Schizosaccharomyces pombe: one gene and its partner. Changing the gene in region 2 together with the main gene of any one other region gives a genetic interaction. Each region holds a gene or a part of one and is shown on either strand. Other genes may lie near its edges.

The links.
Region 1: of vps4 (region 2) and cmp7, changing one suppresses a phenotype caused by changing the other (phenotypic suppression), as found in Schizosaccharomyces pombe (one study listed by BioGRID).

What each region holds. Positions count from the first base shown.
Region 1 is NC_003423.3:3,895,874-3,900,202, reverse strand, and holds cmp7 (ESCRT III complex subunit), read right to left. Parts: upstream 2,118-4,329; 5' UTR 2,108-2,117; coding exon 1,829-2,107; exon of another isoform or gene 1,786-1,828; coding exon 1,384-1,785; exon of another isoform or gene 1,323-1,383; coding exon 654-1,322; 3' UTR 513-653; downstream 1-512. Other genes in the region: protein Tti2, read right to left, coding at 1-37, 82-156; trs8501 (TRAPP complex subunit Trs85), read right to left, coding at 2,817-4,329.
Region 2 is NC_003424.3:816,201-820,523, reverse strand, and holds vps4 (AAA family ATPase Vps4), read right to left. Parts: upstream 2,522-4,323; 5' UTR 2,408-2,521; coding exon 2,384-2,407; intron 2,318-2,383; coding exon 2,206-2,317; intron 2,163-2,205; exon of another isoform or gene 2,096-2,162; coding exon 1,609-2,095; exon of another isoform or gene 1,550-1,608; coding exon 874-1,549; 3' UTR 785-873; downstream 1-784. Other genes in the region: protein phosphatase PP2C catalytic subunit Ptc3, read left to right, coding at 1-361; alx1 (BRO1 domain-containing protein), read left to right, coding at 2,904-4,323. UniProt on the Schizosaccharomyces pombe protein: Involved in the transport of biosynthetic membrane proteins from the prevacuolar/endosomal compartment to the vacuole. Involved in multivesicular body (MVB) protein sorting.

The DNA of each region.
Region 1 (4,329 bases), on a different chromosome or scaffold from region 2:
CCACCTCTACCACCAATTTGTCCAAAAAGTCTATTTGCTATATTTGGTTAAAATTTGAAAATAGTGAATTAAAAACGGTACTTTTTCAAGAGCTTCTTTTTCATTTTTTGATTGTAGAGTATGCAATCGCCTAGCTAGCTCTTTGTAATATTGCATAGATATTGCCAATTTAAACTTCTATTAGATAATTATTAAGTCTAATGTTTTATTATTTGTTTGATTTGTAAACAAAGAATATTAACAGAATTGTAATGTCACTTAGTTATTAGAGAACTTAAATTCTATGAAAAAAGTATTTCATGTTAAGCTATGGTCATACACTAATAATATAAACTTATAGAGTATGTGATATACTGTAAGTTTCTAAGTCGTTGCCAAGAAATCAATTTAATAAATTAACAATTTACTAGTTTTTAAAGGTATAAAAAGCAAAATTTTTAGTAACTAACATCAATTCATTACACAGGTACTTTACCTTATCGCTTTAGCTATATAAGTTCTATTGAGTATATAAGCATTATTGTTTTTTATAGTTATTACCAAGAAAAATGTTTTTATAGTATTCATTTATTCTTTAGTATGTGCATAAATTATTAGTAAACCAAACCATTTCCCGTGAATTTAAGTGATCGTTAAAAAAGGACGTATATAAATTATTGCTCAACCAGCTCAGCTTGAATCTTCTCCGGTTTCGAAGTCTTTTTATCCGAGTCAGTATTAGTAAGGGTAAAAGTATCAGATGGTGTTTTTAGAGAAACATTGCCTAATGTAGACACGATATCTTCAACCTTCTGTTCTTCAGCTACCAAATCCTGCCATTCTTTTTCAACGGCTTCATCCTCTAAATCAATGTTTTGAGGATTGTAAGTTTGAATAGTTGCATCAATCTCTTCCGAACGAGCCAGTGTATCATTTACGTTTTCTAAGACATCTTCCACTTTTTCAGTTCCACCCATTTGAGCTAAAATTGCGTCTAGAGCTTCAGAGCCAGAAGACATTGCAATAAGCAAAATTTTGTTGTCAACCGCATTATCAATATTAGAAATTATAGTATCTAATTGCAGACGCGAAGAAACTTTCCTTTCCAAATCTTTAGACAAAATCTTTTTTCGACGTAAATAAGTTATTGCTATTGTTTTCTCTCCCTTTTTAACTGCTTGGTTTAGCACTTGTGAAAGTTGCTCCAATTCCTCGTTTAAAAATTCTGATCTTTGGGCGATGGATGCCCTAGCCTGTATCAGATCTGCAACAGACCCATCAATAGACTTATCAATTGAAGCTAATTGAGCATCAATTTGGCTGTTGGGTAAAAACTTGATTATCTATTCTCGTTAAAAAAACGGTATCGACAAATAGCTGAGAAAACATATAATCTGAACTTACCTTAGAATCAAATATTAAAACATGTTTTTGATAGCACATCCAATTAAGAAGGCATTCCATCTCATCCTTGTTTAATTTTCCTTCTTCCCAGTATAAGCTTCCAAAAGTATCTTGAAAAAAGTCCCAAGTATAAATTGCACTCGTATAGCTGCTGCACCGTCGCATTGCTTCATTGTGTACAAGGCAAGCAAGTTTCTCAATATTTTTTCGAATTACATACTGCCCACTCGGGGATCTATTTGACAATATGGATGAGGCTTGATTTTGAAACCCAAGTTTCTGAAAACTCCACCGTAGAATTGAAAAAATAGAAAAACCGTCTTCTCTTACTAAATTTCCTTTTTTACAATCGTTCAAAAAGTCTTGCTTACGAAGCCAAACCCCTTGCTGGATCCAGTAAGCCTATATGCTTATTAGCTTCAAAAAAAATGCTTAATTCACGTACCGCAACAGCACCAAGGCTCAAAGGTCTACCTAAAGCAGGACTTGAAAACGCACTTTCAAAAGTCTCATCGAAAACTAAGATTATCCTAGAATTCAACTTCCCAGACCATGCGGATGTTTCAATTGCTTCTCTCCAAGTATTTACGTTTGCCAAAAATCCTTCAGGATTTTTTATAAACAGACTCGTAAAGTCAGAATACAGGCTTTTTAAACGAGTTTTTGTAAAAATTCCTTTATTAACAGAAAATTCCAAAGCATTGACTTTCTCCTTTTTTCCCATTCTGTCGTATATTCCTGAAGCTACCTGCGTGGTTTACTATATACAGTTTTCAAACAGAATTAATGGTATGAGGTGACTTGTCACTTGTACTTTTGTAATGTTACAAATTGCTAAATTTGGAGTTCTAATAAGGTGCTGATGATTTGTTTTCAAAAATTCAGACAATGAACAATTTATTCTAAAACTGATAAGATAGACAAGTTATAATAACATCAGCAATTTCGTATGAAGTTGACTAATGTAAAATCGCATATATCTAATATATGTTATATTGAGTATGATACTAAATTATAATTTTGATATAATAAATTATAATGCTAATGCTACATTTTAAATTGGAAATCCTAAGCTCCTTTATGCCAGCTCCTATTCCTTTTTCAAATCTTTCAAAATTATAGCTTACACCTCTACTCTTTGAATTTCACAGTTATTTTTTATATATACTTTTTATTTTAAAATAATTATTGACATCAGTCTAAATTCTAAAGCAACATTTCAAAAAACGTGAACAAAAAAAAAATGAAGTTTTAATTTCTAAAGTCATTAACTAGCTAATTGAATATAAATATGATACTGTAAGCGGTAATATAATTTTTCAACTTCGCATTAATCGCGCTTGAATTAATAAGCTCATAACCAAAATCGAAAGTTTAGCACCTACATAAGCAGATCTTGTACCAAAGATTGCCCAGATGACAGGATGAGTTGTCTAATGAAAAGTATTTTTCACCCGAAAGTTTTCGGAAAGCGTTGGTTTTAAGTCCAGCATATGTTCAGAAAGCGATTCCCATCCTGATTTTGAATACACACGATTAGCAAGATTCCAGCAAATCTCTGCCATTTTACAATGGCCACAGTCCCGCCAAAAGCCAGCGCTATATGCAAACCAAAAAGCAGCTTTTCTGCGGCGATTTCCATCAGTAACACCAACATGTTCCTTATTACTATACATTCCAGCTATTGTCGTATTTAAGAAAGAAGTTTCAAACGGATTGAGGGAAATAGGGCCTGGTTCCAATATCTTTGCAAGCCAGGATGCTGCAAAGTCGATACTAAACGCAGGCTTCAACGAGAGCAACAAGCTTGTAACTAGCACACTTCTAAATGTATAGTAAAAAGAGTGAAGACGAACAGCATAGATATAAACCATTTCGTCGAACCATTTGTTCAAATACGAAATTTGCGACTTCAAGCTGATATTCCGATTTTGCATTAACAGACATATTATTTGGATTTCCTCGCAAGACGCTAAATAATTCCAGGCTTTGTCTTGAGAAAATGTATTCCGAATCTCATCATAAATTTCATAAGCACGTTTGTAATCACGAAGCATAAAAGAAAAATCCGCCATTTTTCTTTTTATGCTTTCCTGCTTTTCTGAAGAATAAATAAGGGATAGTGGATCATAGTTACCTTGAGAATGGCTTGAATGATTACGAGACCAGTATTTTTTGGAGGCAAATAGAAGCCTGGTAGTTAAATTACCGTATTGAGGGGTCAGATCTTCTTCCCAGGCCCGTACGCATCTTTGCATAAAAGGATATATACTATCATACAACATTGTTTGAACAAACTTTTTCATCCCTTCCACTTCTTCTACAGGCAGTAAAGGATAAAGAGGCAAACACGATTGTTCGGATTCGGCCTGAACTTCTAATGATGATCTCCATTCTGGAATTGGAAATTTTCTTAAATTTTTAGTCACAAATGTTATCGGTTTGGCATCATCACTAGATGAACAAAAGCTTTCGCTTTCCATCGAATCTCTAGGTGCATTTTTTAATGACTGTATAGAAGACGTATCATATCTGTCAGTATCTAAAGGTTTCGCTGATATGTAATTCGACCTTAATCTAATAAAATGAGAGTTTGCGCCAAGACTTCTCCGCATTTGCTGAAAAATTTGCTTCGAATTTGAAAGATCGTTGTTATCTTCATCATGTATAAACAAATAGTAATGTAAAATTTCTTTAGAAATAAAATTAGGAAAGGGCGCATTGTTAATTTCTTTGAATAAACGCATAACAGTTGCCATAGGATTGGTATTATGAGACGTTATAACAATTAGACAACCCACAGGATGAGAAAAAGTTTCATGTTCAGCTACCGGGTTACCAGAAAGTAGAAGTTTGAGATAATCCAGAATGGGATTTAAAAATCCATTTTCGGGGTAATTATTGCTGCCCGATTGAACCCACTCTTCTATGAGCTTCTGACTCAAG
Region 2 (4,323 bases):
AGCATGGTATAAGAAGATTGCAGATAGAGTTGCCGCTAACGACGGACCCTGCGCTCCTCCTGAGTATGCCGAAAATCATGGCCCAGGATGGCGTAGTGGCGATAACAATAAGAAAGTTATTGTCCCACCTAATTTTCATCAAGTAAAGTTAAATGGATCTGATGGATATGACAAAGATGCGAATGAAAATTCTAAGGAAGATGATTCCACCAACGGATCCCTTGCAGCTGGGTTCAGATGGAAAGAACACTTTTTCCCTCATAAAGCCGAGGAGGAAAATTCTTCAAGTGAAACCGATATCGTAAATTCTAACAAAGATGTTGCGGATGATCATAAGGAGGCTGTGTCTGCAGCAGATTGATTATTCCCTACTTCACGCATATTACACAATGTAACTTGCTTTTAGGAATATTCCTCGTAATTAGCATTATTTGTTGACTTATTATAAAAGTCACGCTAGGCGGTTTTGTTTCAACATTTTTTCATGCTTTTCTTTTGTTGTTCGTATAATACGTGCCTGCGACGTATACCGATTACCTCCGAGAATGAAAAGGTTTTTGGTACGTTGCTACTTTGCACTTTTTGATAGCATGCGATTTCTATATCAATTTTGTCGAATACTGTCTTTTATAATCCTGATTCAAAATCAGTTAAGATTATGGAAAATATTTCTCTGGCATGAGTAAACATACCCAGACTAATTTCCGATTGCCCTAATAGATATTGTCGAAGCAATATACATTCCCTTCAATATTCTACTAGTTCCATAATTTACTAAAGTGATTCAACATTTGTGAGTGTAGTCATGATATTATACTTCTTTACAATAATGGTATCATTAAACTAAGCGAAAATAGCTCCTTTATCATATTACTATCCCTCTGCTCCAAAGTCCTTTGTAAATTGTGTGTGCTTTTCTATATCACCAGCATTAAGCGTAGGCTTGACTTTACGAACTGCACTGTAGAAATCTCGAACAGTAAGTTTTGGTTCCATAATGTCTTCAGGATTCACCTCTAGCCAACTAGATTCAAATGCATCAGGATCACCAGGAGAACAAGGAGTTACAAGGGTCCTATTAGACTTGTTATCATATACCTCTTTGAAATGGGTAGCTGTGTGAATTCGTCTTACAGGCTCCATTATTGCATCACGAACAACAATAGAAATATCTGAACCCGAGTAGCCATCGGTCATTTTAGCAAGTTCTTTGAAATCTTGTGAGGTCAGTTCCGAAGGTATTTTACCGACATTAAGCTCGAACATCCGAGCGCGGGCATGAGCATTAGGCAGGGGAATGTAAATACGCTTTTCGAAACGTCGGCGAATAGCAGAATCAAGAGTCCAAGGAATATTCGTGGCACCCAGAACCAGAACTCCACTTTCATCCTTTCCAACTCCATTCATTTGTACCAAAAATTCTGTCTTAATCCTTCGAGAAGATTCACTCTCACCTTCGCTTCTGCTTCCGCACAGTGAATCGATTTCATCAATGAAAATGATAGATGGTTTTTGTTCACGCGCCATTTCAAAAAGTTGACGAACAAGCCTATAATGTTAGTCATGTAAATATTAAAGAGTAAATAGTTTTAACGTAGAATAACAAACCTTTCGCTTTCACCCATCCATTTACTAACTAAATCTGAGGAGCTAATCGAAAAGAAAGTAGAACCAGCTTCAGTAGCGACTGCTTTTGCAAGGTACGATTTACCAGTACCAGGAGGACCATAGAGCAATATTCCTGACCAAGGCTTTCTACCGTGTGAAAATAATTGCGGCAGCTTAATAGGTAGCAAAACTGTCTCTTTCAAAGCTTCTTTTGCGTTTTCTAGTCCCGCTATATCATCCCAACGAACGTTTGGTTTTTCTACTAAAATTGCACTAGTCAATGCACTTCTTAACTTTTTTGCATCAGAGTCTAACGCTTCATTAGCGGTTGGAGAATTGCTCCCCTCTACATTTCCATTAGAGACTCTACTTTTTGAAGAAATTTGATTGTTTTTCTCCTGTAAATAAACCTTGAGCTTCTCCGCTCTATCTAGATATTCGATAACTTTTGAACGAATTATTTCTTTAGATTTTTCATTTTTTTCATCTGAAATATTAGCAAACAATAACTTGAAAATGTAGATCCAAATATAAATTTCCTTATGAATCATTGCGACAATATATCCTCACCCTAATTCAAACTATTGAGTAACTTACATTTTAGGGCCATCATAAAATAATCTAGTGCACTTTGATAATATTTGTAAGCATCAGGATATTGCTCGGCATTGTCATTATCAATAGCAGTTTTTACTAATGAAATTGCTTTCTACAGTAGTTAGAATGTTAGACAAAGGTTCAAATTCGGACGAGTTACTCCATGCAACAGTCTTACACTTAAACAATCTGGATTGGACATCACAGAAGCCAAATATCAAATTAATGATGAAAAAGGTAGATTTAAAAGAAAATCCAATGAAATTAAAAAGCTAAGTTACTGAACGGGTCTGCTCTGGATAATGGGTTTTGGTGTGAGTAGTACAATCAGTAGCAACAATGGCTTAATGATGGCATTAAGTACCTAGAGGTACATTACATTTAGCTACTAATAACCATCCTCAATATTTTTCTCTATCGCACGATAAATTACATTTCATCACTAACAATTCTAAAGGAATAAGTTTGACTGCATTTTTACGGGGTATTTTTTTTTGTTCGCTATCGTCAACATTTGATATACCAGTTGTCCTAATAAAGTATTCTTTTGGGTGATAACCTGCAACAATCGCTTTGTGAACGATATTATACTAAGGTTATTCCTTTTTAAAGACGCGTGTTTGGCAATTGCTCTAGCACTTCGTGACAAGATTCTTGGTTTGTAAAATAACCAGACACTTATTCAAACATTATTAGCAATGGAATTTTTAAATATACCAACAAAAAACACTTTTCATTGGAGTTGTGACCCTCTGTTTAATGAATTGAAAAGATTGTCTTGCTTCAAATCATTCACATATGAAAATGATTTGAAGACCTTTAAAGCTTTGCGAAGTCAATTATGTTTGTCGCATCCTTCAATAAATTCGTTGAGCTCCTTTCAAACTTACCACCAGTTGTTGTGTGTTTTAGAACAAAAGCATTTATCAGAATGCGTAGCACCATTTGTGTGGACATTGTCTAGTTCTTCAAACGAGAGAGAATCTTTTGAAAATCTAATATTTGAGCATGCTTGCTTGATATATCGATTAGCATGCACTTATCATACGACGGCAATTTCCCTTTGTAATGAAAAACCTCCTAATTTAGTACAGGCATGTCAATATTTTCAGCTTTCTGCTGGCTGTTTTCGATATATAAATGATTTCTATATATACACTAAATCTTTAGACTTCAATGAAAACTTACTGAAAGCTTGGGAGATTTATTGCCTTGCTGAGGCTCAAACTTGTATTTTTAGCAAGGCTAACTCAAATGACACGACCAGTGAATCTATCATTGTAAAGATTCTGGCAAAAGTCTTCCTCTTATACGAAGATGCATATAAATTATTTAAAAATGCAACTGGGGCACCGAGTATATTCGTTCATTGGACTTACATTCAAAAACTTTTTTACCAGACTATTACTTATCAGATTATTTCGCGAACAAGTTACTCCCTAAACAAATATGGAGAAAACATTTCATACTTGAGGCTTTCTCTGTTACATTGCAAGGAAGCTTTGAAAACCAGGTTCGATTTTGGATTTAATGTGAAAGTTTATGAAAAACTTGAAAAACTTGAAAGCTCTTTACAGTTTGAATTAAAAAGAAATGAGAGGGACAATGATTTTATTCATTTACAACCCGAAATACCAGTAGGCTCATTTCCTTTATTGGATACAGTTACTATGGTTCAATCGATAACACCAGATGTTTTGACGGATAAAACGGCTGCTTATCCATATTTTTCGACATGTTTGGACAAAGAGTTTATGGATCTAATTGAAGAACATGAAAAAAATATTTTGGATGCTGCTGTGAAGAGTATTGATTGCTTAACTAAAGAAGGTACAGAAAAGCTTTTTGCTCTTATGGAAGAGATAAAGTCCGTCAATGACAATAGGTATATAACTGAAACTTCAAATAAAGTAATGGAAAATTTTACTGAAATAAAAAATTTAGGGGGGCTTGAGTTTTTAAGGTCCGAAGCATCTTCTCTTGATTGTTTAATTGATAAAGTTAATGGCACATATCGACATTGTTGTCAAGCGTTAGACGAAATAATAAATTCGGTAAAGTCTTCCCAAAACATGAAAGAAAAAGGATTTTACAGCGATGTTATAAAGTTACATGAGG